Tamandua tetradactyla: one gene and its partners. The protein of the gene in region 3 purifies or fractionates together with the protein of the main gene of each other region. This does not show direct contact. Links are inferred from orthologs where the notes say so. Each region holds a gene or a part of one and is shown on either strand. Other genes may lie near its edges. The genes, in order: YBX3, YBX1, LARP7 and DHX57.

Region 1 (7,215 bases), on a different chromosome or scaffold from region 3:
TTCACACGCTCCCACCAAAAGTGTGCAATTTACTAGTCCTTAAAGAAAGATGAAGACACTGTCAAAATAGTTCATTAAAAAAATTAGAAGCAAAATAAGTGCAAAAAAGTCTTTTAGAACCTGGAGCTTTTGTTCCAACATATGCTGAAATGATCAATTTGCCTTTTAATATCACAGGTACCTTTTCTGAAACCTTTTATCCAACTTCCCATAGGGAAGGGTTGAACACAGTGAATCCCCACCCCACTCTTAGCTCTCTTATTGAAAAGGAAAAAAATTCAAAATATATCTTCACTTTGGTATGTCAATATATATTACTTAAAGTTAAAGGAGAGTGTATGTATACAAGGGTGTGGCAGCATGGAACATAGTTGAAGGGTAATGGATAGTAAATCAACTTTAATGGATAGTGCTTACCCTAGAGTTTATCAATGACATTTTCATAGTTATTCAGAATTACAGAATTACGGTTCATTTAAATTTTTTGGCTATGTCATGAAAGAAGCTCAAGTTACCCTAGCAGGTAGCATTATCTTGAAGGATTATCAGATTGATGTATGGTCCAGCTTGTAAACCCAGGCTTTTTCACAATAACCACAGGTAAATTGGCTTCTGGGGATCATTCAGGTTAACTTTCTAGTTGTCTAGAAGACTTCTGATGCTCAATTTGGTAGCTGCCAGCCACAATGAGGTGTGTAAAAACTGTAAAATACACATTGGATTTTGAAGACAGCACCAAAAAAATGCATTATCAACAATTTTATATTGATCAAATATTAAAATGAAAATATTTTTGATATGTTGGCTTAAATAAAATGTATTAAATTTAATTTCACTATTTCTTTTTACTTTTTAAGATATGGCTACTAGAAAATTTAAGAGTACTTATGTGGCTCACATTTTGAAGGCTCAAATTACATTTCAAATGTGCGGTGCTGGTCTAGACCCTAACTCCTTGAATACAGGGGCCATTCCTGTCTTGTTATGCATGATATCTTTAGTTCCTAAAGTGAATGATCAATACATGGGTGGAATGCATTATTAGTGAATGCCAAACAGAGCATATCTCCCCTTTAACATTGATGGAGACACCTTGAAAAATCTTTGCTCTCCTATTCCTCTACTTTTTTATTCCCTTCTGTGTTGTTTCGACATCAATCAGTTTAGTTAATGCTTTACTGTTTTACAATTTCAGATATGCTAATCTATCAGTGCTTCCTTACTTTAAGCTCTAGTCCTTTGGATGGCTTGCAGTATTCTAAATCTCCTTAGTCAGTTCATTGCATTTTCTTCCTTAGGGTGATAATGCTGGATAGCCTCCTATCACTTATCATCATTAGCCTCTTCAAAGGTAAGAACTACATTCCCCAGAATCTCCTTTCCTGTAGTTAGAGATTGGAATCTGTCAATGAGCAGCACTCCCTCAAGATTTATAAGGCACCCAGGAGACCATTACTTTCTAGAATCAGTTACTGGAAGATGCACGGACAGATGGAGGTTCAAAGCTAATTCCAGATAAACTTCTTGAAGAGAAACTGGGTCTGTGTTTTCAACTGAGATAGTTGGTGTCAGGGAGGGCATGCCATTAGACAAATGAAGTTCAAACTTTAGGGCTCCTCTCTTCCACCCTGCTTATTTTGTATGCATAATTTTATATTCTTTTCTTAAAGGTGCTCTCTAAATTGTATAAGGTTTGAGCCTCACAAAACTGGCATCTAGCCCTGAATGACTGCGTGCTTCCCAGAAATCCTGTGATTCCAGTGGCTTCAGGAGGGCACTGGAGAACCACCTTCTTTGGGGCTGGAGTCAGGGATCTTCAGTGCAGCCTCTCCGACTTCCCTTCCCCCAGCACTTCCAACAATTGTGCAAGCTCTAACTCCCCTCATACTAGGAACAGAGAGGCTTTTGTTTTCATGACCAAACCAGTCATTGCTAAAAAATGATTGCTGTCAACAATTAGATTATGATTCTTTTTGTCCCACTTAATCTCAAATTTAAGCAGTAATGATACTTTTCTTACAATATAATTGATGGTAGTGAAAAAAAGATAATTTAATATAATATAAAGAAAAACCTTAGAGCAAGCTTTATGTTGATCAACCTTGCATACTTATAATTTCACACATTGCCACATATGCCAGCTTAATAAATATGTGCTAATGAGTGAGTGTGTGAATTAACGACTGAGCAGAGGAAGGATAAATTTATGTGCATCTGTCTACATACTGCTCTGTAGTTATGATTACTAAAATAACATAGATCATGTCTGCTCTAATTAATTCTCTCTAGATTTATTTAGCATAGTATCAAAAATCCCAGCTGCTTGCTGGGATTTTTTTGGATGAAAATGATGAGTAGTTATGGGAGTCATTCCAGCACAAATTCTAGGAAATCCCAGTGTGCATTTGTAATTATTTTAGGGTCTTCCAGAGGTTGGAGACAACACCTGTTAGTTATGATTTGTTTTCCAAGAGTGAATATAAAAAAAAGAGGGAGCTGACTATTGGATCAGAGATCAAAGAGTTCAACCCCTTTCATTTTTTTCTTGCAGTCAAATTGTGCATGGTAAATAGCAATGATAATCATATTGTTGGGTAGGAAAAATCAGTGGCCAGTTCTCGCCAGAATAAATCGTACGTACAGCATAATTTTAATTAAGACTATAACCTTTAAAATTAAGATGACATTTAATCATGCTTAGAATATTAGACCGGCCTCTTTAATGCATCCACATATGTATAGCATTACTGTATGCTTCATATTGAAAGCAAGTGAAAATATGGATTTAACTTTAGAAGTTTGTTATTTTAAAAATATACATATTAACTACATGCAAAAACCAAAACTTCCACAATTTGCTATTTTTTTTCTAAGAATCAATTTTCTTTAATTTGCATTTTTCATGGATGGAATAAAGTAAAAAGGCAGGATAGTTTCATAATTGATAATGAATGTGAAGATAAGCAATTGAATTTGGAAGATGTTGGTTTTTTTTTTTTTTTTTCATTTAGTAAAAACATTTGCTATATTCTAACCCTATGCTAGGTACTGCGCTAACCAGTGAGGATACAAAGTTGAATTAGACTTGATCGCTACACTCCTAAAGTGGGGCAGACAGCTATATAAACACTGTAGGAAAACATAAGGAAAAGCTTTAGGAGAGAGGGGAGCTAATAACTGAAAGTTAACATTGGTGTTACATATGACAATCTCATTTACTTTTCACCCCACCTTTGAGCAGTTCTCATCTCATAAAGGAAGAAATAACTTGGGGACATTGAATCCCTGGCCCAAGTAAATTCAGTTAATAAAGAGCAGAACCAGAATTTATACCTGGGCCTGGCTGGACGCTAGTGGCAAAGAACATCAAAAATCCTTTATTCCTTATAGTCCTTGGGGGCAGGTCACAGTCCCTCTGGTCATGAGTTTAGCGTAATCCAGCCCATTCTCTACAGGTCACGTGGGTTTTTCAAACTGGGAATAACCTTTATTGAGTGTTCTGTATCTGCACTTCTTATCCCTAAAGCTAAGAGGGCTCAGTTGCAGAATTCCTGTTCTGCTACTGGAGCAGAAGGTAGGGCATGGATTGATAAAAGTTTTTTCAAGTACACAATTAAACACATTGACAGCTCATTGTTTGCGTTAAAGTGGCTTAAACTCTGATATTCATTGTCTGAGGTCTGGACTTCAGTTACTTCACCTGTGTGTTATAAATTAGTTTATCCCTAAACTACCTTTGGGGAGTAAATTGGCAAATAGATTTAGGATTTTATTTCAGGTCTTCATTGCTGTATCAGAAATAGTTTCTGGTGCTCGATAAATGTGAATGAATAAATGTAAAGGATTTAAAATGAGTATGTGAAAGACTGAAGCGCAGCGCAACGTGGATGTCCTATTTGACGTCTCCTAAGAGTCAGTTTCAAGTGTCTAGACGTTGTGAGGGAGGAGAGCCCTCTGTCCCGCTCCAACACAGGAACAGCATAATTCATGGTCCTTCGAAAACTCCAGATGCCAATCAAACCTCCTACTCACCCTTGCTTTCCTCTACTCTCCAACTGGGCGGCTGCGCATCAACCCCGGCGGGCTGGCGAGTTGGAAAGGGCACCAGGCGCCTTTAAATGCTAATGAGACTGGATGCCCAATTCTGGAGCCAAGTTTCCCCACCCTCTCCCCTCGCCCGCCCTTTCCTCCCGGGCCCGTGCGCCGCCTAGAAAAACTTGTGCGGGGCCATTTTTGGGGCAGTAAGATCGAGCGAGGAGCCCAAGATCCAGGCGCACAGCCCGAGAGCTCGAGCCGCCTCCGCCGCGAGACCCCACCTCGGCCGCCGCCGCCTGCGCCGCGAGATCCGCACCGGCCTCCCCGAGAGCGAGCCCCGGCCGACGCGACCACCAGCCGCGCTAACCGCCGACCAACCGCCAACGAGGTGCCCAAGTGAGAGCAGAGGAGGCGGCATGAGCGAGGCGGGCGAGGCCACCACTACCACCACCCTCCCGCAGGCTCCGGCGGAGGCGGCCGCCGCGGCCCCCCAGGATCCCGCGCCCAAGAGCCCGGTGGGCAGCGGCGCGCCCCAGGCCGCGGCCCCGGCGCCGACCGCCCTGGTCTCAGGAAACCCGGGTGGGGACGCGGCCCCCGTAGCCGCTAGCACCGCGAGCACCGCGGCCCCCGCCTCTTCAGCCACCGCCGGCAGCGAAGACGCAGAGAAAAAAGTTCTCGGTGAGTCAGGGCCGGGCGTGCAGAGCGGCGGGCCGCCGAGCACGTGTGGGCAGCTCCAGCTCGGGGCGGGGAGAGGCTGACAGTCCGGGGTCCGCCGGGACCTCGGGTCCCCAGCACAAGGGCCGCGGTCCACCTGCCTGGCAGCGCTCCCAGGAGAGCGCACCGCGCCCTGCACCCCTCGCGGTCCAGTGCGCGTCCCTCCTGGTTCTGGGCCAGCAAGCTGGGGACTTAACTTCTGTCTTCCAGGCAGGCGCTGTCGCGGATTCCCGTAGTGGAGGGCGCCTTATCCTAAGAGGGAAGGAGCGGCGGTCTGGGAAGGAGGGGACCCCGGGTAGGAATGGATGTGGATGTAGGGGAGGGTCAGACAACGTGGGCCGGGGATTTTGGAGGCCTAATTTGGGATCTGGGGAAAACGAAAAGATTTCCTTTGATGAGGAGTGCAGTGCCAGATGGAGGCGGGAAGGGCAAGGTGGAAAGGTTTCTTGCAGGGATGGCTCAGCTGTCTGTCCCTGACGCCCTTCCCACGTGGGCATCGGGAACACACCATGCTGTTGTCAGCCACATGCCGACTAATAGGTGTTGTAATCCTCTCCGGGAAACTTGGGTCTAGGTCCCACGTCTTCTCCCCCTCTCGCTGTGCCCCTACTGCCAAGAGCCATTACGTGTCCACCAATCGCTGCACTTTTGCTAGACTGTGGGAACACACGTGTCGCGGCAGCTGAAAAAACTTTATCGGAAGTGTGGGTATGACGTTTGCTCAAAACATCATTACCTTATGGCTTGTGATTTAGGCAGGGAAACATTAAGATGAGATGGTCAAGTATGGGGGCAAAGCGTTTCTGTGGTGGTGGTGGTTTTGCCACATATTTCAGCGTCCTCTCCTCCATGAAGTAACGCCCTGTGAAGCCTTCCACAGGCTTGCAAAGCATGTGGGTGGTGAATAAGCTCACTACAGGGTGTGTGCCTAAATCACTCACTCTTTCTTAAAGTGGAAAGTTACAGGTGGTTGTAGGATGCTTCAGATACATCATAAGTATTTTGGGTGGGGCATGTTAGTCTAATTTCTCTGAACCTTGCCTGCCAATTAGGAAGAAATTGAGGGAATACTATGAAGAAAGTATTACACGATTCGTTGTCACCCAGCTTGAGAGGCCTGTTTTCCTGTTTTTTTTTTTCAGTGCATTTACTCAGTTCCTGCCAAACAAATATGCTAAATGTAACTTGTGTTGGTTAAGAAACAAAATAGCCCTCTTTTTGCTGGATTAAAAGTTTCCAAAAATCCAGTCAATATTGTATTGTTTGCTGCAAATGTTTCTTGGAATACTAGAGTTAGGGTATCCTGAGTTATCTAAAACAGTGCTAAGAAATAACTCTTGATATTTTATATATAAGAGCTTTTGCAGTTTTTCTTCTGATCTCTGTACTCTTATGCTATAGGGCAAGCAGATATTACCTTTAGTTTAAAGATGAAGAAAACAGATAAATCTAAGTTAATTTCCTCAATCACCGACGGCTATTAAGACTCTCCTGAATTCCTGGTGATTTGTCTCAAGGTCTTTGGTCTTTGTGCTTTACCTCCAACTCTGGAAATGAAAGACAATCTTCTACATGACATTTCAACACCGTCTCTGTCCAGCGTATTCTGCCATCTGTTTTCCTTTGTCAAGCAGACACTTGGTGCCTAAGAGGTGGTAGGCACAGTGCTGTCTGAAAGGGAAACTTGGGCTTCTCCCATTCTGGTTTTTAAACACAGGCCTTACATTCAGTGTAGAGCACCTAGGTCAGGGAAAACGGTTTACATTTACCAAACTTCCTCCTGCTGAACCCTGTAGGAGCCTGGTCTTCCTTTGGCTGCCACCATTCTCCCTCTTGCCTTTGTGTATATGAGGCAGTTTATGGTTTTGAAGAGGCAAGAAGTTTGAATGAATGTGCTTGACCACGTGAAGTCCTTAGAAGTAATTTTTGAAATTAGAGAAAACAATGTTTTAGCTACATTGAGGAATAAAAATAATTTTCAGCCTTCATTGAAATTAGACTTGAAAATATTTCTCCTTTCCCCCCCTCCCCAATTATTTAGTGTTGTTTTTTAAATCAAGACTATTCTTTTGACAGGGCTAAGCATTATATAAAAATGAATCACAACAGCTAGTATTTTTGTAAGTAATTAATTATTGGGCAAATGAAAGAGGGAAAAAATGGCATATCATTTGGAACAACGTGTAACTTAAAAAGTGTATAATTTATCAAAAAGGACATCCTCTGTGTACATTTGGATCTAAAACATCATACTTTTTGCCTCCTATGCCCTGCTGCTCTAATTAGAATGCTCTCAAAATGAAGATTCCAATGGTTTGATCTCTTGGAGAATTCTTCCTTACTTCTTGGAATTAAAGATGGAGAATGCTTAATCAAAGCGGGATGAGTGAAGTTTTCTGTTGTGTTTTTTTTTTTTACAAAAGGCTAAAATAGTTACTAAGCTTATCAGTCTAGCAAAATTACTCT
Region 2 (6,929 bases), on a different chromosome or scaffold from region 3:
ATTCAAAGAATAGTATCTCATGGCATAACTATTTATAATATGTAAAGAACTACTTTTACATCTTGCATATAAATTATTTACTTTGAAAATATCATAACCTGTGCCATTTGAAAAAAATGCAAAAAAACCCAAAAGGCACATGCAAATTAACAGCCTCTTCTAATGTGCACAAGAAATAATGACATTATCAAGGATTAAAAGCAATGTGTCTCAAGGTGTGGCCCACAGACTATCACCTGGAACTCTCATTAAATCAGGTGCTCTGAAGGAGAAATTAGGGTATTCTCTTCCAAGGTAAGCACACTTAATTTAAAACCACTGGTTTAGAGCTTAGACCAGAAAGGAGAATCAGAGTAATATGAAATACTAACTGAAACACTAATAATTGAGAGATCAATCAACTAAAAAGTAGTCAATCAATGATGTAAATGGATTCTCTTCCTTCTTCCCTAGCAATCCATCATCAAAACATACAAAACTGATGAGAATATGTAGCTTTGGCCTGCTACAGTATAAAAGGTGAAAAATTCCTTAAGATATTGAAGAATCAAAATGTTTTCCCTAAAATGCAAATTGGAAGACAGACCATCAAATGCTTATCTCTTTTACTTCCAGTGTTTCCTCAATATTTTATGGTTGACTGATGAATGCTTTTTCATTCATCAATTATGTCAGTCTTTAAACTTGATCTTGCCCATTTGGTTTCCTGCAGTACACTGTACATTTCAAACATTCTACTTTTACTTCTTACTCTCAAACATGCTTTTAACATCTACCTGTTTAAAGCTTTCTAAAAGAAGAAAAAAAAAATGCTGACATGGTGTTACATATCCTACCTGTAAGCCCGAGATCCCCGTTAATGTACACTGCTCTACACCCATGTATCTGCACTACTCGCCTTGGCAGCCATCTTGAAAATGATGCCCGGCTCACAAGGGAGATCCATGCAGAGTGCTGTGAATCAACTGCACGTTCCCCATCACTATTACTACAGGCAATTTTAAGGATAAATGCTGAAGGTGTTTTGTAACCACACCTTCAGATATGAAGAAATACGAAGAGCCACACACTTTGGCATCCGGACTAAAGCCGTCTAATAACATATAGCCAAGACTTTAAAATAATTTGATTTAATATTATGGCTCGACTTTGGGACAGGTAAGTAGGAGAAACAAAAATTATGGACGGGTACGGACTATTTTCTTCCACAAGTGTTACTTAACCCTATGAACAAATAAAAATAAATAAAGCAACACACCCTTTTGTTAAAACAGCTCTAATAAAAGATTTCATGCGAGGTATTTAAAAGACAGCATCTACTGGAACAAAGGCAGTATAATCTTACAATAAGGATGATAAAATCGCATACACTTAACGTGTCAAAACATCTTACCACAAGAGGTTAACATGTTATAAATAACCTAACGGGGCTCCTTCTCAAAACCATTTCAATAAAAATTCAATAAAATATACAAAAAAGATGAGAAGAACAAAAACGTTGTGGACCCGAATATAACTGAAAAATTCGTACTGGACCATAGTTTCTTCAGTTTGTCCTAACCTGCTACGGTATGGCTCAAACACTCTGCTTGCCTTTTAAAAGTGCTTTGTGCCCCAATGAAGCCTCAGAAGTTAAGATACAACTGCAAAACAAAGAAAATCTCTAGATCACTATTCCTTGCAGTCATCAAGGAAAACGAACATCACACTAATACACTAGAGGTATCACACACCCTGAACACGCGTGTATCTCCATATCCTTAAAACAATAAAGCCACGCAAAACCTACAGCCGGAGTAGAAAACATGCAAGAGGATGGAAGCTTCAGTGACGGTCATCTCACCTGTTGATGAAACCATATCCGTTTCTTACATTGAACCATTTTACTGTTCCCAAAACCTTCGTTGCTGGAAAAAACAGACAAAAAAAAAACCCCACAATTACCAGGTATTCTTTTTAAAAAAGCCACACTTCAGCATCCGGTCCCTCACACGCTTCCCAGCCGCCCGGGCCGCGGCCACCTGACAGCCTTTCCCTTCAAAGCCCGTTTCCAGGACCTTGCTACCGCCACCAGGACGCTTTAACGGAACACGTGGGTTAATTGGATGGCCCGGTACGCCCCACGGGCAGGCCTGGGGCGCGGGTCCAAGATGGGTGTGCGAGAAGACAGCGAGAGAGCACGTGAGGGAAGGGGAAACCGCCCCGGCCCACTCCGGCCTGCGTAGGCGGCACGCCGCGCCCTCAGGGTACACGCGGAAGGGAGCTGGGTGGGGGAGACAGGAACAACGGCGGGCGAGGACCGGACCCCGCCGCACACGCGGTCGGTGGCGCGCGCGCGCCTGCCGGGCACGCGGGCCGGCGCCGGGGAGTGCGCGCGTGGGGGGGCGTGGGGGAGGGGCAGCCGCGCGCGGCGGAGTCGGTCCCTGCCCGCCGCGCGCTCGCCTCCTCGCCTCGCTTCGGGTAACGGTTCCGCGGCCAGGCTCCCCTTCTGCCCCACCCCCGTCTCCATTCGGCCCTCACCGATGACCTTCTTGTCCCCGCCGGCAGGCGCCGCCGATGTGAGGCCGCCCGGGACGCCGCTCCCTGCGCCGCTGCCCGTGGTGCCGGGCTTGGTGTCGGCAGCGCTGAGGGCGGGGGCGGCGGGGGGGGCGGCAGGCGGCTGCTGGGTCTCGGCCTCGCTGCTCATGATTGCGGTGATGGTGACTAGGGCCGGCTGCGGCAGCTGCGGCTCCTCCCGGGGTGTGATGGTAACTAGGCCGGCGGCGGCGGTGGGGCTGCTCAGGGCTCTCTGGGGTCCGCTCTCCGCTCCCGCTACCGATCGAACTAGCGAGAATGGCGGGACAGGCGGGATAAGCCCTGTGATCGGCCCGCCCTAAAGATGTTCACTGGCCAGCAGTGCTGTCAATCCCACCACCTGACCTCAACTTCTGGCCCCTATTGACTAATACTTTATCACTCCTCTACTCTCATTGGCTCTTAGGCGGCTAATTCGACAGACCTACAACCGTTCTTGCCTCCGCCGCCGCCATAGAGACCGGAACTAGAATTAGGGTAGAGTCACCACGAGAACCATAGAGAACCAGAGAGGGTGGGCAGAGAGAACGTGACTTTCACGAGGGTGTAGTCCGCACGGGCCTCTACGTCCTGGGTTGTGCCAGCCCAGAGGGAAAGGCGCGGCCAAACGCCTGGTCCGGAATTACCCTGCTTGACCTGCGGCGTGGAAGGGGGCCCAGTGACACCTTAGCCCCTTGTGGAGGGACTGCCAGCCTCCCTCCTTCCCTGCTCCATATATGGTCCTGTGAACTCAGTGTTACCGCGGGGATACAGCGGGCTTTCCATAATGGCCGCATACACGGGGAACAGCGGAGGGTTTCTCCAGTATCAGACTTAAACGTATGCATTCGAGAAGAGTCCGCTTTGGGCGGCGCAGTCACCCTCAGGGGACCGCGCGGGCTCTCAAGCCCCCCCTGCTCAGCATATTTAGGGAGGTGGTGGGGGCTGCTGTGTGCTCCCTGGAGACCGCGTTCCGATCTATTTTATCTGGCATATAAGGAATGTGCTTTCCTGAGAATTCACATCTTTTTTCAGACTGATTTCAACTCGTATTTTGAGCAAACTAGGCATTTTTTCTTGCGTTTTGTCCTTACAGCAGCCATGTGAAGTAGGGATTACTGTCCACGTTTCACAAACGATAAAATTGAGGCGGAGACCTGATGTTGCGTAAGTCCTCCGGCTCCATTCGTTCTTTATTAAGCGTCTACTATATGCTGGAGATGGAATAAGAGCGAGTCAGTTTCTGCCTTCTGGAATTCAGTCTGGAGATTTGGGCAGAAATTTGAACATCCCGTTTCACGCCACGGTTGTTAAAGCACAAAGCATCTTGGGAGAGGAGGAACGCAGGGTGAAACACTGACTTTGCAGGCGCAGGGCGGTTTATGCGAAGCCCCCCACCCCCACCCCCACCCCAAACAAGACCAGATGGTTGTCTCAGGGGAACTGCGAGTAACGTAGTTGAATAAAGCTAGAATGAAGACATGGGGTTGTAAGAGGTAGGCAGGATCAAATTAGGAATATTTTTAGTTTTCCCCCAAGGGCAGTAGTGAGAAGAGTAACTTAAGAGTTGGAAGCTAGAGACTGGGCATGGCCTTTTTAAAATGGCTGCTGAGTGGAAAATGAGTTGCGGATGGGCAAGAGAATGGAAGCAGAGAAAGTTGTGAGTTGTGATGGGAAAGGTTACTCCTTGTCCCATCAGTAATATCTCAGCCTGTCAATTCCATCCCCTAAGGCCTCCCTGAACCAGTCCTAAAAATCTCTAAGTCAGTCCGGTCTCTTATTCCTACTGCCACTACTCTAGTTTAGGCCATCATCAACTGTTATTTACAGTCGGATTAGGCAAACTTTAAAAATGAGGACCATATAGTAAACATTTTAAGCTTTGTGGGCCATTCAGTTCTATCTCAACTACTCTACCATTATAGCTTAAAAGCAGCCATGGACAATACATAAACAAGTGCAGCTGTGTTTCAATAAAATGTTATTTTATGGACATTGAAATATGAATTATATAATTTTTACATAAAAGATTGACTTTTTTCCAACTATTTGAAATTTTTAAAAACCATTCTTAGTTCATGAGCCATAGAAAAACAAGTGTGATCTGGCTTGCTAGTCAGTTTGCTGACCTCTGGTTTAGAGCATTAGCCTCCTAACTGGTTGCTGCCACCCCCCAACACACACACTGCTTTCTTCTTACAGTCTCCACCTCAACCACCAGAATGCTCTTTTGAAAAAACCAATCTGACCTTGACAGTCTTAATGTCTTCGAGTAACTTCCATTACCCTTGGTATAGTCCAAATACCATAATGTGGTTTATAGGACTCTGAACCAAATTAAACTCTTACCTTTCCACTCTTTCAATTCTTGCCCAATCTTCCAGGTGATCTTTTAGTCATTGCTTCCTTTGGGCTACCCCCTCAGACTATAACATTATTCATTTTCCCCTTCATTTTGCTTGGTTAACTCTTCAACTTTTAGGTCCTGGCTGCTTACTTATAGAGTACTAGATGTCACTCAGGTGTTTCCCCCGTGTGATTATATTGATAGCATCCTGTACTAACCCCTTCCTGATACTGTATTGCTCTTAAGTCTTCCTTGACCACCTAGCAATGTGCTTCATATATAATAGCTTGATATGTTAAACGAATGACATGGTGTGGAAAATGGTTTGGAGGAGGCAGCACTGGAAATAAAAAGGTCTCCTGGGTAGCCGTATTAGTAATACACATGAAAAAGAAGGCTTGGAGCCACAGTGTGGACGGAGAGAAGCAGGTGGATTCCAAAGCTGCTATTCCAATTCTAGGTGACTTTTGACTGTTGAAGTGAGCAGCCTTTGCAATTGCTTTGAAGGGATGGCTTCTCAAGCAGAATACAAATTTTGAAACATGTCTTTAAAATGTTACTTTAAAGTATCACTACTTATCCAATTACTTTTTACTTTTTCAAGGGGCTTTCTCTTTATGCTCCTCCAATGTGTAGATGAACTTCTTAAGACAGAAAAGCTAGTTTCCTTGTAGTCACCTCTATATTAGCACTACTGGAGCACCATAAGATAACATAATATGTGGAAATACATCTTTCCTTCCAAAGTGAGAGCTCCCACTCCAAAGTTCTGCTGATCCTCCTGCCATTCTGAGGGCTCACTCATATTGCTCAGTGGCCTATGGTGACCACAGCACAGATAACCTCACTGCCTAGCTTTTAGTGATATGAAGGGCAAGAGTGTTCAAGAATTTACTTTGCAAAATAACTTTCACCTTCTTCCCCATCTCTAACAGACTCTTGTCTAAGAACACAGTTCCCTCTTCCAGGAAAGCCCTCTCCACCTTCATCTCCTGGCTATTTCTAACCAATTCATTAATAATTACCTCAAACGTCAGTCTTTCAAGAAGCCTTCTTTGACATCTTCCTCTTACCTGCAGTCTCTCCACTCTACTCCCATAGCATCTTGTACATACCAACATCATCATTTATTCATGCAACAAATACTTAACTGAGCACCCATGAGACACTAGACACCTCCTCCAGGTGCTGGGGGCAGTGGGGGAGGGGACACACAGCAGTAAACAATTTCCTGCCTTCGTAAGGGCTCACATTCTAATTCCACCTTGAACTGAAACTGTATCTGTCTCCTGTCACACGCATGGGCTACATCTTACTCATTGTTGCAACTCCAGTGCCCAGGACAGGGACTGGCATAAAATGGAGGTGCCAGGTATGACTGAACTCAACTAAATAGTTAGCCCATAAGAATATCAGCTCAGGAACATATCTGCTCATCCTCCTTCCCACCTCTCTGCCTAGTTAACTGAAGATCTGTCTTCCTCCAGTTCACAGTCCCTTCCTTCCCTACTGATTGCTCTGGTCCCTGCTTACTTGGCTACAGAGAGTTCTGAATATCTACATTGTAGGGTCTTGTATATCTCACATCCCCCCTTGTCTCCCAGTATACTGAAACAGCATGTTTAACCAGATTCTATCATAGAATTTGGCTCTCTGCTACCTCTGCTGCAGTAACCTGCTGCCAGTAGGCATAGATAGCATCCTGTCCATGAGATGGGAATAAAGTAGGTAAAGTCAGGAATGGGAGAACTTGTAAAATACTTCATGAAAGGAACACCAGAGAACTTTTTTCTTTTCCTCTTAAACATACTCAGTGGAATCTTTTTATGGTGAGGTATTTTCAAAGACATGTTACTGTTTCTAACGATTCCTTCATATCTATTCTCTTTTATTTGACCCTTTCAGAAAACTATGAGGCAAATCTAGGTATTATCCCCATTTTACAGATGAGGAAACTGAGCTCAGAAAGGGGAAGAAAATTTCTCAAGAACACCAATAGTTTAAATGACCCTGGATTCAAATTGAGATT
Region 3 (7,677 bases):
ATAAAATTGGAAACAATATGTTAAAAATAAGACACTCAACTCGGTCTAGGGCATCAAACAAGGTTTCCCAGGGGCAATGTCTAGGGTGTAACTTGAAATAACTATTAACAAAGAGAAAATGCCAGGGAAGGTCTTTCATGACAGGAATCAATATGTGCAAAGACCTGGGGGAGATACAGCAAGGCAAGATAAGAGAACTCTAAATGGTTATGATTAAAGGGTCAAGTAAAAGGTAATGAAAGAGCTATAAGCAAAGAGGCCGAGGGAGTGAGTGGTAATAGCTTTGAGAGGGCCTTATGTGTCATACCGAGGAACTAGACAACAGAAAGCCACCGAAGGATTTTAATAAAAGGATGCAATCGGATTTGGGTTTTACAAAGATCATTCTTGGTTGCTGTGTGGTGAAAGTATGCAGTAAAAAGCAGCCAAATGATATATGAATACTTGTCCCAGGACACAGGTCACTGGACTGGACCCAGACCTACTGAGGCACTCTTTCAGAAGTATTAAATCTCGACTTTCTATAATTCTTCCTTCCAGCCCACAGGAACGGCTAGCTGCCGAACAAATGCTAAGATACAGAGGGGTCCAGAGAAACACCTATCACTAGCTGGTGCTTTTTGAGCAACCTGCTCCTGGCCACTGAACGGGCTGGACATTTTAAGTATCTAGAGACTCTACAGTGTAGGCATAGTGCCTGGCATGTGGCAGTTATTAATCTTCTATCTCCTAATAATATCAATCATTTATTCTGTACAACTGTATGTTAGACACTTTTTTTAAAAATGCTTTAAATGTTCACAACAACCTTATGGTGTAGGTTCTATTTTTAATCTCCATTTTACAAGAGGAAACAGGTATACGTGAACTTGTTCAATATTGTAAAGTAAATAAATAGCAGAGTGAGAATTCAAAACCAAACAGTCTAAACTCTGGGGCTCATACTCACAAATACTATTTTATTTAGCTACTTACTGAGTACCGATAAGGTGTCAGTAAGGAATTCAGCTAGATATTGTACATATATTTTTCATCCTCATAATCCCAAGGAGTAGGTATTATCATCACAATTACAGACTAGGTATTCAGTGTTTACTAAATTTAGGATTATTTATATACTATTTTAGAGTTGCAAGATAAATTTCCCATACTTTCCCAATATTAGTTTAATGCTTGAATTTACAATTCAGAAGGAACTAAGAGAAGGTTAAAAAGCTCTCACTAATGGTAAATGAGATTATAGAATTAAACGTCAGAAAAACTCTAGCTAGAATATAAAGATTCAGAAGAGCCCTAATATTATATTCATTGGAGAGCTGGCATCCCTTTCTTACCCTTAAATAGGAAAAAATGGTTTTAGACAACAGCATCAAATTATGAGATGCAAGGATGAGACATTTTTTTCAGTGTTTATCTGTCCAGTCTAACAAATAATTCAAGTGTTGACCTACTTCTAAGGCCTAAAGAGTAAGCTGGTTTGGAGGCTCCAGATGTGTTACTGTAATTAGGAGGTGTTGAGATGTTGTTTTTTTTTTCTTTTAATTATTTTTTTTAATTCACCATAACACACAAACACATTCTAACCATTTGATCATTCCATTCTTGATATATAATCAATAACTCACAATATCATCACAGTTGTATATTCATCATCATGATCATTTCTTAGAATATTTGCATCAATTCAGAAAAATAAAAAGAAAATGAAAAAAATTCATACATATCATACCCCCATCCCTCCCTCTTATTGATCACCAGCACTTCAATCTACTAAATTTATATTAACATTTGTTCCCCCAATTATTTATTTATTTTTAATCCATTAATTTTACTCATCTGTCCATAAGGTAGATAAAAGGAGCATCAGACACAAGGTTTTCACAATCACACAGTCACATTGGGAAAGCAATATCATTATACAATCATCTTCAAGAATCATGGCTACAGGAACACAGCTCTACATTTTCAGGCAGTTCCCTTCAGCCTCTCCATTACACCTTAACTAAAATGTAATATCTATATAATGCATAAGAATATCCTCCAGGATAACCTCTAGACTCTGTCTGGAATCTCTCAGCCATCGACACTTTATTTTGCCTCATTTCACTCTTACTTCTTTTGGTTGAGGTTTTCTTAATATTTTGATGCTGAGTTCCAGCTCATACTAGGATTTCTGTCCCACGTTGCCAGAAAGGTCCACACCCCTGGGAGTCATTTCCCACATAGAGAGGGGGAGGGCAGTGAGTTTGCCTGTAGTATATATCTTAAGTATAAAGTTCAACTGGAAACTAAAGATTACTTTTAGAACTTTACATAAGAACCCTTGATACTAATTTTTAAAATGTTCTTGCATGAGGAAGAACAAAGGAATGTCATTATTGCAGGGTGCTGAAAATAGATGGTATTAATATTTTAAAATGTCACCTTATGTGTGAGACTAAAGCAAAAAATGTTTGTTACAAAATTTATATTTTGACTAGTGCATTTCCTAATATAGCCTACACAGTTTGATTGAACAACATAAGTACTTGGAATCTCAGGTAGGACATGAGATTTTGTTGGTTTGTCCAGAGTGATGCCCCAATGAATCCCAGTGTGATTTGATCAGTGAGTGGTAAATTATTTGCACGCCCCCTTCAGGGAATGGTGTGAGCAGGGAGAAATTCAACTTCCCCAAGTTGAATTCTTGATATTCTCACAAGCAGTGTAGACAACCAAAGCTATAGGCTGAGCCCCCCGTCTTGGGGTTTGTTCCTATGAAACTTAACCCCACAAAGGAAAGGTCAAGACTACTTAAAATTTAGGACTAAGAGTCACCCCCAAGAGAGCCTCTTTTGTTGCTCAAATGTGGCCTCTCTCTCCAGCCAACACAACAAGCAATCCCACCACCCTCCCCTGTCTATGTGGGACATGACTCCCAGGGATGTGGACCCTCCTGGCAACGTGGGAAAGAAATCCTAGAATGAGCTGAGACTCAGCATCAAGGGATTGAGAAAAACCCTAGAATGAACTGAGACTTGGCATCAAGGGATTGAGAAAAACCCTAGAATGAGCTGAGATTTAGCATCAAGGGATTGAGAAAACCTACTTCACCAAAAGGGGGAAGAGTGAAATGAAACAAAGTGTCAATGGCTGAGAGATTCCAAACAGAGTCAAGAGGTTATCCTGGAGGTTATTTCTACGCATTGAGTAGATATCATCTTGTTATTCAAGATGTAATGGAGAGTCTGGAGGGAACTGCCTGAAAATTTAGAGCTGTGTTTCAGTAGCCGTGTTTCTTGATGATGACTGAATAATGATATAGCTTTCAAAATGTGACTGTGTGATTGTGAAAACCTTGTGTCTGATGCTCCTTTTATCTACCTTGTCAACAGATGAGTAGAACATATGGAATAAAAATAAATAATAGGGGGAACAAATGTTTAAATAAATTTAGATTGAAATGCTAGTGATCAATGAAAGCGAGGGGTAAGGGGTATGGTAGGCATAATCTTTTTTTTTTCTTTTCTGTGTTCGTTTTATTTTTTTCTATTGTCTTTATTTCTTTTTCTGAACTAATGCAAATATTCTAAGAAATGATCAATATGCAACTAAATGATGATATTGTGAATTACTGATTATATATGTTGATGTTTCATCTGGTTTGTTAATTCTTTTAATTAATAAACAAATTAAAAAAAAAAAAAAGAACCCTTGATACTAAGCCACAAGTTTGGTTTCTTTGGGCATACAATTCCAGCCAAACTCCAGATTTGAGAGTCGTTTGGATGGACAAATGGTTACTTGTGGTGTTTAATCAAACTGATGAGAGAAAAGGGGGGAAAATACCTATCATAAAGCAGGCATAATGAGAAGCATCATGCATCCCAGGTGTGGCTTCTTCAGTGGATCATCTGCAGTGCATCACTGATTTGACAGAGCCTCTACTTCAATGATGCCTGTCTCAAAATGGCTCCCAATGATTTCTGTATTGCAAAATAAAGCCAAATTCTGGAAACCAAAAAAAGAACCCTCGATACTGAATGGTTTTCTATAAAATAGTTCACATGAACCTGAAAGATAATTTTAAATGTTTCTACCCATCTTTGCAGAGTAATAAAAATCAAGATTTCATAACGATTCATCCTGAAAACAACTAATTTTTAATAAGAAAACCTAATACTATTACAGTAATACCACTATCATCCCAAGAAAGAACGTAGATATTATTATAAAATATATATATTTTAAGCTTTATTCATATCTGACTGGCTTACATTAATACTTTTGAAATAGTTAATTCTTAAAAACTTCATAAAAACTGTGAAAAAGATCGAATGATTTGTTATAAATGTTAATAAACGTTTCAAGAAAATTCTGTTTTTAAATAAAAAAGAAAAGAAGGGCAGTGAAGGAAAGACACCAATTATTCCAGGCAATCTGTGACTGCCACCCCCTCTAAACCAGGTTCCGCACAGCTTTCCTTCCAATCCGCTTCCTGTGGAGCAGATTCTTTCGTCAATTCGCCCCAAATCAGCGATGCGGTCTTTTGCTCAAGCCCCCCAGCCTCACTCCCCAGAAATAACCAAAACAATTCACTTCACCTGTTCATAGCCCAAATGCTTTCGAATTTCTCCCGCGAAGGAAGATGACGTCATTCACCTGGGCCCTCACCAGATCAGGACCCAATGCTTAGCCCGCCCACCAACCCCTCGACGAGAACCGCCATTTTCAAACGGCCAATCAAATGCTTCACTGGCTGGGCGCCACCTCGGCCGGTCGCGTTCCCCGTTGCCCCGCCCCCGCAGCCAGTCCCAGCCTGAGAGCTAAATGACGTTCGCGCCGCCTCCTGGTCTGTCTCGTGGGTGGGTGACTGGTGTCGCTCATCCTATGACGCCCGAGTCATCACGACTGTAAAGCTCCGAAGGCGGAAAGGGTAGAAGGACGTAGTCTCTGACCCTCTGTTTTGCGAACTGGATCGAGTAAGTTGCACGTGGACCACAGAATCGGTCAGGGTGGGGAAGGTCTAAAATGCTCGTAGTTCTTTTGTCTTGCTGTCCATTCTGTTATCTGTTTTCTTTCTCACCCCGCCCCTTCTCACGAACCCATCGCTATTTCACCAGTACGAGTTGTCTCTGCGCACGCGCAGTTCTCTGGCGGCTTTTGCAGTTTGTACAGCGTGCAGGCGCCTAGGGTCGGACGTTGGGAGGTTTGGGACACGCCCCACATTTAGCAGCGTCTGTACGTGAGTACGGGTACCGAGACGGGTAGTAGAGTGTAGAGAACGTTCCTAATTTCTGGAATTTGGGATTGAGCGTTGGCCAGTAAAGTATAGGGAATGTAGGGACTTGTATTCCAAAATTTAGTTTTATTCTTTTACAGGAAAGTCCTTGCCTTCACAGAGTTGAAAATCCAGTTATGGAAGAAAACTCACAAATTATAAGCGTTAAAAACACTATATAGTGACAGCATTAATGGGGATCCTTAGAGAAAGCAATTAGGGAAGATGTGGTGGGAGGCCAGAGAACGTAAGAAGACATTTAAACTTGTCCTTGAATGCTGAATAGAGGTTTATAAAACAAGAGAGAACACTCATGCAAGGCAAAGACATTGAAATGGCAGAAATTCCAGGTGTTCAAAGTTACATATGCTTTTCATTACTATTGAGCTATTTTACGACTGTGTAAATTGTAGAAAACTGATAATAAAGCTATTTAGTTTTGTACAGTGGAGAGGCAATTAATTATTGTTCTCACCAGTTTTACAGCTATTAGCAAATTGATTTAGCAAATTGACTTCAGTATCTCTGAATGCCAATCTATATGTCTGCTCATTGAATTCAACTTTAAGATGGTTTTTAACCACTGATCCATTAATTACTTACATAGGACCTTTGGCATGTATTCATTTTATCTGTGTACAGGAATCACGATTTTTTTTAAATATGTCTTAAGAATTTCACGGGTTTCACAAAAACTTGAAACCCACGTATAGTGCCAAATATTTCAGGTTCAGAATCCCCAAGTTAGAACAGAAATTTGCCTAGTGGCAATGTGTAGGACCCTATACTACTTCCTATGTTACAGGAAGGTGCTAAGAAATTACTGTTGAAAGTTTTGACTCGAGGTTGACTTCAAAGAACCTTCAGCTCTGTGTTTACCGCAAGCCGCATAATTTCTATGTAGGATGGATGATTTCTAGAATGGTTTAGAAAACTTTTTCCATATGGTTATATATATTGTGTACCATGTAACAATTTTAATGCTTTATTAAAAATATTTAATAAATTGTTATTTAATAAAAACACTATTCAGTAGTTAAGATTTTTATCCACATTGTACAGACCACAGAGAGGTGAGGTAATTTGCCCAAGTACCATACAGCTAGTAAATAACTAGATTGATTTACTAGGTGGAATATGGTATCATTAAACGAGATGATGATGATAGGAAGAAGAACAGGCCTGGGGAGGTAAGATAACTAAGTTTGATTTGGGCCTGTAATGAAAGTACACATATTTGTTGATATTGATAAAGTACAAGAAAGTGTGAGCCTGTAACAAAAGTACTGCTTTGTAACTTCCTGAACCTCTGCAGCCACTGTGTAGGGGAGGTAAATTGTGCCATAACTTATGTTACTTTCTGCTTCATCTAAATTTCCCTCTAAACTGAAGCTGTTTGATCATCCATAGAATATTTATTAGAGAAGTTATAGATTTGCAGGAAAATCCTGCATAAAGTACAGTTTCCATATACCACATTATTAATAACACCTCGCATTAGTATGGTACATTTGCCGCAGTTGATGAAAGAACTTTTTTATGATTGTACTATTAGCTATAGTCCATGGTTTCCTCTAGGATTCACTTTTTCTGCTATATAGTCCTATGGATATATATTTTTTTAATTTTTGTTCTAGTAACATTTATACAGCCTAAAATTTCCCCTCTTAACTACATTTAAATATGTAGTTCAGTGCTGGTCACAATGTTATGTTCACAGTGCAATGTTGTGCTACCATCACCAGCATCCATTACCAAAACTTTAAAATCATCCCAAACAGAGACTCTGTATCAATTAATCATTAACTCCCCATTCCCTACCCCCACCCCAGCCCCTGGCAATGGTAGTTTCTGACTCTGTGAGTTTGCTTATTCTAATTATTTCATATCACTGACATATAACATTTGTCCTTTTGTAAGTCTGGCTTATTTCATTCACCCAATCCAGAAAAATAATTTTAGCAGAAGAAGTGAAGACAGGTCTCTCAGCTGAAAAATGAGAATGATGGTAAATATCTGCTTTCTGGGAGAATTGTGACTTTGTGTGCATATGCAGTTTTGTCCCGTTTCCTTTAGGTGTCAGCCTTTGATAAGGAAAGGAATTAGCTGATAGTCTGCCCTTTATAATTTAGTTGGTATGGGAAATTTAGTAATGGTGCCAACTGTAGTGATACTCATATCCTATATTTGTATTTTATGTATATCCTCCCATTTGCAGAAGCACTTGAAATGCTTAATACTTTACATTTTATAAGGTGCTGTTAAATATATTTACTTTTATTCAGCAACTACTTAAGTGGTGATCAAGCCAAAGTCCCTGGCCTCAAAGAATTTACATTCCGAGTGAGATTAAAAGACAGGAAAATTATAACTACAGGTAGTGATAAAGAGGACAAAAAAGAAAGTGGTAACCGAGA
Region 4 (7,276 bases), on a different chromosome or scaffold from region 3:
AATTCTCACCAGCTGTGTCTACAGGGTTAATGTATTTCTCTAATCTTGAGGTGATACCAATTATAACAAATGATTTGTATCTACTACTTCACCAACTATACCTAAAAATTTTAAAAATCCAAAGACTCTCAAGCTTCCTTTTACGCTACCTCTATTAGTATCCACAGAAGAAGTACAGAATTGCATCTCTTTAGAAACAAAGCTCTGCCAGTTTGGTAATATATATCAAGAGCATGCATGTCATCAAATGTCTTCAGTGCCTGTACCTGAATCCCAGCCCCAGACACTCAGAGACCAAACCCCGGGACCCGAGAATACCAGTATGAACACAGCTCTTTATGCCAGGCACAGCACCACTGGAAACTCAGCTCGGGGAGAAACTGTAGGTGATCTGGTCCTAGCTAGACAAAGGAACGCTGGGTGGGGAAATGACAAGGCCACTGAGATGATGGATTAGGAATACTTAATCCTCCCTTACTTAACTCAAGATTGGTTCCAAAGCTTAGCTTGAGATGTGACCAACATAGAAACACGCAGCTATCTCCCCCGCATGTAAAAGGGCACACCACACCACAGTTCTTAATAAGACTCTTAAATGGTTACAGCCAGCAGAAGCTATCTCTAAAATCCAGAAAGCTATTTAAAAGAATCTAAACACTTTAAGTATATTAGTCTTGAAATAAGTTAATTTTTTCCAATTATATCTGTTCCTCTAACTTGAATAAATTGCTACCCTTTGAACTACCACAATTTACTTTGGTATATTATTCAATAAAATGGCACTATGGGGCAATGTGACGGTGGCTCAGTGGCAGAATTCTCACCTGCCATGCTGGAGACCTAGGTTCCAAAAAAAAAAAAGGGCACTGTGAATTTCTGTAAGTTTGAAGTTTTCTATTTGCCCCCTCCACTATGGGAGGTAAGAATAGTCCTCATTTTACAGATGAGGTAGATGCAGAGAGGTAGAGGGCCTGGCAACACTCAACAGCAAGTTGGTGACCAGGTGGAAATAGATCCCAGCTTCCTGACTCCCAGATAAACTCTTTTAACCAGCCACACTCCATGCAGAGAGAAAATCTTAACAGACTCATGAAATCATCAAAATCAGGTCTTTATAGAAAGACAAATTCTATAAAGAGCTGCAGGAAATTACATCTGGTTTCCTGACATTTTAAAAATTGCATTTAAATCTACTTTACCATAGCAGATTTAAAAACTAAGATACTCTTTCCCAACTCATAAAATAATTGGTGAATATCAGTTTTGAAATCTATTATTCATCCCTCATTCAAAAGAGCAGAAGGAAGTGTGAGGGAAAGGGTTATAAAAGAGTCAGAATTTCTGAGTGCTAATTCCATGCCTGCTACTGTTTCTCTGAACAAATTACTTAATTTTATCTGCAAAACAAAGCAGCAGCACTGAATAATCTGAGAATATCTGTGATATTCTGATCCAGAAAGGCCCTACCCAAGCATATCTTTCTGGTAACATCCTTTTATAGCTGACATTCCAATTATGAAAGAAGCGTGCATGCTAAATTCCTGAGCAAAGAAAACTAAAGGACACTTTGTATAATACAGATGAGGAAATACGCTGCTTTACTATTAACTTATAGGAAAATCAATATATCCTCTTTATACATCTAAAATCATCATTTAAATAATAAAAAATAATCAATTTTCCAGATCGGTAAATCTCTAACTCGTTTAACAGGAAATAGTTTTATAAATAAGTTTTATAAAACAATTTTCAGATGCTGTTTCATTTTGCATCATGATTTTTAAGTTTATATGAGCAGCTAGAATAAACTTTGTTAGAAGTCAAAAAGGGGAAAGAGGCATTAAATAAATAAAATTGTATCCTTTCATTTTAAAATGTCAATTTAAGGAAATACTACAACCCATTTAAACTAACATTATTAAACAGCGGAAGAGTCACTGGTTTTACCAAATAGAGTGAACAAGCCATAAAAGAATTTTTCAATTTGGTGATCCCATTTCTGTATCATATCCCAGGCAACTGCTTTCAAGTCTGAATTTTTTATATAAAATTAAAATAATGTTTATGATGTCCACCTCTATAGGATATGTAAAATTTAATTATAATAGGAAATATGGCAGAACATGCTTGAGGGAGAATAAGAAAGCATATTTATCAGTACCTGAACCAGATTTGATAAACTGAAATACGGTTTCATCATTAATGCACATGCTAGCTTAGAAGTTTTACTTTTTTCTATGTTACATGGTATCTCTAAAGAAAGACATCTTGCTATTTTTTCCCAGAATGAGAGATCCAGTGCACAGGGAAAATAAGAATTATAACTTAAGACCAAAGCAAGTCCTAGGGTGAAACAGAGGAGTAGCAGGATGGAGCTCCCTGGCTAATGAAATGCGGCCTACGGCAGGGCTGTTTTTCTATGGGATCAGGGCAAGGAGAGGGCACATGGTGTCAGAAACAAGAATATCTGCTAGGACATGTTGAGCTGATGTACCATGTTCCACAGACTTACAAATTCTGATGACCTCATCAGTACTAAATACATGAGATTTGCACAACTTCACCAAATAAGACACTGAAATGTAAAGTCTGCATAAAGAAGGCCTAGCTTTTTCCACTGTCTTAGAAGCAGAACACAACACATGTTAGAAAAAAGAATACTGATCCAGCTGTGTTTCAGTAGTCCATTTCTACCTAAACTACTACAAAGGAAGAAACCGTAAAGTGTTTATGATTTGTGTAACTCAGAGGGCACAGACAAATACCTTACAACACATGAACCACATGTCTCTTCCCGCTACACCCAAGGTCTCTGAGCTTCCCGATCTGGTCAGGTGGTGCTACGACAGTGCTGGGGTGAAACACTTAAGGGAAAAACCTCTTCATGAAGCAAATCAGAACGGACAATCCTGTTACTCACAGTGTCGCACAAGGCCCGTGTAGGATTTACTTGTCCAGCAAGAAATCGTAGGAGCTTTCTAATATCTATGTGCTCCTCCGCTATTTGTTCTGGGTTTCTATCAGAGGCCAATGGAGGCTTTCCAACATCTTTGAAATGAGTTGTAAAACAAACTAATTTCAGTTTCTATTTTCAAGTTCAGCTCTCCGTTTATGTGCGTCAATATTAAGGTTGTTGCCGATGTTTTCCATTTCCTCCGCCACACTCCTCACTGTCTTCAACACTGGCAAATAAATACTAACATCAGAGCCTGGGGTTGTAGGTTCTTGTAAAACCTTCCCCAGTTTCCTCGGAATAAGCTTTTTTGGGGCCGTCATGTGTCACAACGCGAGTAGTGCTTAATACAGGGAACCGCTCCACAGAGACTGGGAGGCCGCCAAGTGTTTATTGGTCAGCTTGATTTTCAAAATTCAGGCATTCTGGGCAGTTTTCAAGGCACGAGATGAATTTTCCGGTGTCAGCTCTAAATAAATCTCATTGTTTTCTGCTGAGACGTCTTCCGTTTGAACTTCACCGAAGAATTCTCCGGCTCGAGCTCACGCCACCTACTCACTCCGCCATTATCCGCCTCGCCGGAAAGAACTGAGTTCAGCTGATCCCGGCTGAGGCAGAGGTTTGGCGAGCGCACGTATCACGTTACTGACTCGCATGAAGCGGGTCAGTCAGGCCCGGTCAGCTACCTGACCCGGACGGGCGGCCTCGGTTGGCGGACCGTGTCCCGTCCTGCCTGTCCCCCGGCGGGAACTGCGGCCGCGCTCCTTGGTTCCGCCGGCTCTGGACGCCCGTCCGCCCACGTACCTGTTCTTAGGCTCTGACATTGTCCTTGGACCAGTTAAGATGTAACGTTGTACAAACCTTTCCTCCTTGTACAATACGTCAGCAGCACCTCGGGGCTCCTGGGGTTCCGACCGGACCTTAGAGGGGCCTTTCTCCCAGGTCATGGATGCAGGCAGGTTGGCCCCTCTGTGGCGGGGGTGCCCGATGCTTGGCGCTCCCGGTGCATGCAGCGGCCGTCGGTGGGACGCGTCCCCTGCCTCTCCTCTAGCATAATGTTTTCAAGGTTCCTCTGTGTTGTAGCATATGTCGGAACTTCATTTATTTATTTTGGGGGCTGAATAATATTCCATTTAATGGAAATACATTTTGTTTATCCATTCATTTGTTCACTGACACGAGTTTCCACCTTTTGGCTATATTGAATAATGCTGCTAGGAACGTTGGATTACAGGTATCTGAGTGCCTGTTTTCAATTCTTTCGGGTATATACCTAGGAGTGGAATTGCTGGGTCATGTGGTCGTTCTATATTTAACTTTTTGAGGCACCGCTAAACTATTTCTGCAGTGGCTGCACATTTTAGGTTTCCATCAGCAAGTGTATGAAGGTTCCAATTTCTCCACATCCTCGCCAATACTTGTTTTACCTTTTTTATTTTTTATTATAGCCATCACAGTAGGTGTGAAGCGGTATTATGGTTTTAGATTTTAAAAGCATTTTTTACACAACTGTCTTCTTTCATTCTTTAAACAATCCTACGAAGTATCACTATTACCATTTTTTTAGATGAGGAAATCCAGGCTATGTGCTTCTCTAGTTTTTTACACTCTTTGGAGAGTGTCAAAAAGATTAAGTTACTTATCCAAGTTAACACATAAAAGTAGAACTGAAATCCAGATCTCTGAAGCAGTAGAGTATGGCATATAACAGCACTGGTTCTACTGTCATCTGACTTGAGTTTAAACCCTGGTTCCACTACTCACTGCATGTGTGATGTCATGAGGTTTACTTAACTTCTCTGTGCCTTGATTTCCTTATTGATTAAATGGAAGCAATAATTCTAACTTTCTAATAGGGTCGTTGTAAGAATTAAATGAGATAATATATGTAGAGAGTTTAGTACCTGGAAATAGGAAGTATTCAATTAATGTCAGCTTTTCCAAATCTTAGTGCAGTACCTGCACTATAGCAGAGAAGGCAATGCAATAGGAGGGGTCACCATGCTAGATCTGATTATAGGCATCTCTTCCACCAGCCTGCCCTGATGCCTAACACTGGTCTGACTCCTGGGGATTAAGGTACTGCTTATAGACAGCAATTGTTAGAATGCTTCCATTACTTTAGAGATCTGCTTTTTGAGATCCTTCTAATTTTTCAGATGGAACTATCTCATGTTCACATACAGCTCAAACAGCCAATCGTGACTATTATTTTCCCTTGGTATGATGGACAGAGAACGGCATGTTTGATCTTTTAGCTAATAATTAGATGGACTTTTCACTTTAATTATACAATGCTGCTTCCTTCTCTCCTCCATCTAGAATGTCCTGAAGTTCACGGAACAGGAACACCCTGACTATTACCTACTGCTGGTGTGTGTTCAGCGACTCCGAGTATTTATCTCACACTACACTCTGCTGTTTCAGTGCAATGAGGATTTGCTTATTCAGAAACGGAAAAAGCTCAAGAAGTAAGGTTCTGATGGTACAGTCTGGAGAGCAATCAAAGGTTTCTGGGAAGAGGGATGTACACCAGTCAATCTAGGTGCCTGTCACAAATAAACACACTGTGTGTGAAGTGGCTCAAATGCAGTGATGGGTAGAAAGGAAGTGGGAGAGAGAAGGGAGAGGCAGCCAGGCTGGCTATGGCAGGGAGATACATACTACCTAGTGGTATTTACTCTAGAAAACTAATTATTTCATATTAATGCCTATGTAGACCTCCTGTGAGCCCATGTTGCTGACTACCCCAAAAATAGTTCAATTCTATAAATTTGCCAGGTTCAAAATTGCAGTTCAAAGGCCAGAATGCAGTTACCTTCATTAATTCAACAAACATTTATGGAGCAAGTATTGTGCATTAGCACTGTTCTAGGTACTGAATATACTGCAATGAACAAAATGGACAAAAATCTGTGCTCCATGGAGCTTACTTTCTATAACTGAACAATCAGCTAACAAACTAGATGGTGATAAATGCTTTGGATAAAAATAAAGCAAATAGGGGAAGGGAGAATTGAATAGATTTTACACCGGGAAGAAAGAGGAAACAGATGAGGGAAAATCTGGGCACCAGAGGGAACTGAAGCAGTACAAGGCAGAGCTTTCTTCAACCTCATCCCAACCTACCTGCAGGAAAACAGAATATTCTTTGAGTGCTTCAGACCAGAAAAGAATGGTATCTCTCAAGTCAGCTCTCCTCTAATAGAGGGATTGTACCCCATGCCACTCCCAAGCTCATTTCGGCCAGTTCATCAGCATCACCACTCATGCCCAGCACCCAGTTTGCACCCTGCTGTGTACGCAACTTGGTTTGTAGAGGTCTTGGGAGACACAGAGATCTTCAGGACTGAGTGTCATCTGAGAAACACTTCCACAGCATATTCAGAAAGCCATTTTCCCACTTTACACCCTGATAACTATTACCTCCATTCTGTTAGGTCATCCATGGTGAAGCTGTACAAAGGACTGGCTTCCCAGTGTGCGAATGCTGGACAAGATGCTTCCCCCACTGCAGGCCCCGAGGCTGTCCGTGACAGTGGGATACACTCAGAAGAGATATTGCACTCCTACCCTTCTGCTCCCAGTTCTGGTCCTGCTGTCACGTAAGCACCTGTTGCTGTGGAAAAGTTAATGGCAATAACCTTGGGTCCCAGGCAGCCTGTGCGGGATAACACGCCAGCCTGGATTATGACCTACAGAACTTCTCCCCTATCAGACCTAGATGTGGTAGCCAAGCAGCTGACCATCTGTTGTCCAGAGAAAGGTAACAGTGGTAAGAGTGAAGCCAATAGGCTGGAAGTTGCTCCCAACAAGCTTACCACACACAACTAAGTCCTCCTTCAGGACGGGTCTCTAGGTTTGGACAAAAATAAAGTGGGGAGAGAATACTAAGAGGACAGGAGGGCATTTTATAGCTCCTCAGAAGTGTGGGAAACAAGTTAAAGTCTCTAAGGAGAAAAGAAATCCTCGATGGGGGACAGAAGTCAGGGTTCTGAGAATAAGAAATAGGTCTGAGGTGACACAGGAAGAATGTTGTCTAATCCTTTTCAATTCTCCTCGAAGCAATTTCCGAAAGGGACTTCATAAGTTCTCTTTGCCATTTATGTGTTTCTCTGAAAGCTGTTCTGGGCAGTGTAAGATTTTTTTTTTTTTTTTTTTTACATGGGCAGGCACCGGGAATCGAACCCGGGTCCTCTGGCATGGCAGGCAAGCGTTCTTGCCGCTGAGCCACCGTGGCCCGCCCTTTTTTTTTTTTTTAATTTTTAAAAAATTTTTTATTATTTATTTATTTATTTATTTTTTGGCAGTGTAAGATTTGAC

What was found.
Region 1: the proteins of LARP7 (region 3) and YBX3 purify together in Homo sapiens (affinity purification with mass spectrometry; 3 studies listed by BioGRID and IntAct, with this or other methods). This does not show direct contact. The link is inferred for Tamandua tetradactyla from reciprocal best matches to the Homo sapiens genes LARP7 and YBX3.
Region 2: the proteins of LARP7 (region 3) and YBX1 purify together in Homo sapiens (affinity purification with mass spectrometry; 5 studies listed by BioGRID and IntAct, with this or other methods). This does not show direct contact. The link is inferred for Tamandua tetradactyla from reciprocal best matches to the Homo sapiens genes LARP7 and YBX1.
Region 4: the proteins of LARP7 (region 3) and DHX57 purify together in Homo sapiens (affinity purification with mass spectrometry; 3 studies listed by BioGRID and IntAct, with this or other methods). This does not show direct contact. The link is inferred for Tamandua tetradactyla from reciprocal best matches to the Homo sapiens genes LARP7 and DHX57.

The regions. Positions count from the first base shown.
Region 1 is NC_135333.1:73,329,819-73,337,033, reverse strand, and holds the start of YBX3 (Y-box-binding protein 3), read left to right. Parts: upstream 1-4,207; 5' UTR 4,208-4,451; coding exon 4,452-4,713; intron 4,714-7,215. UniProt on the Homo sapiens protein: Binds to the GM-CSF promoter. Seems to act as a repressor. Also binds to full-length mRNA and to short RNA sequences containing the consensus site 5'-UCCAUCA-3'. May have a role in translation repression.
Region 2 is NC_135328.1:182,059,485-182,066,413, forward strand, and holds the start of YBX1 (Y-box-binding protein 1), read right to left. Parts: upstream 3,012-6,929; 5' UTR 2,687-3,011; coding exon 2,521-2,686; intron 2,461-2,520; exon of another isoform or gene 2,409-2,460; intron 1,908-2,408; coding exon 1,844-1,907; intron 1-1,843. UniProt on the Homo sapiens protein: DNA- and RNA-binding protein involved in various processes, such as translational repression, RNA stabilization, mRNA splicing, DNA repair and transcription regulation.
Region 3 is NC_135350.1:9,642,804-9,650,480, reverse strand, and holds the start of LARP7 (la-related protein 7), read left to right. Parts: upstream 1-4,672; 5' UTR 4,673-4,961; exon of another isoform or gene 4,962-5,224; intron 5,225-5,259; exon of another isoform or gene 5,260-5,610; intron 5,611-7,208; exon of another isoform or gene 7,209-7,268; intron 7,269-7,677. UniProt on the Homo sapiens protein: RNA-binding protein that specifically binds distinct small nuclear RNA (snRNAs) and regulates their processing and function.
Region 4 is NC_135343.1:10,124,868-10,132,143, forward strand, and holds the start of DHX57 (putative ATP-dependent RNA helicase DHX57), read right to left. Parts: upstream 3,025-7,276; 5' UTR 2,921-3,024; exon of another isoform or gene 1,841-2,920; intron 1-1,840. Other genes in the region: ARHGEF33 (rho guanine nucleotide exchange factor 33), read left to right, coding at 5,276-5,424, 6,394-6,558. UniProt on the Homo sapiens protein: Probable ATP-binding RNA helicase.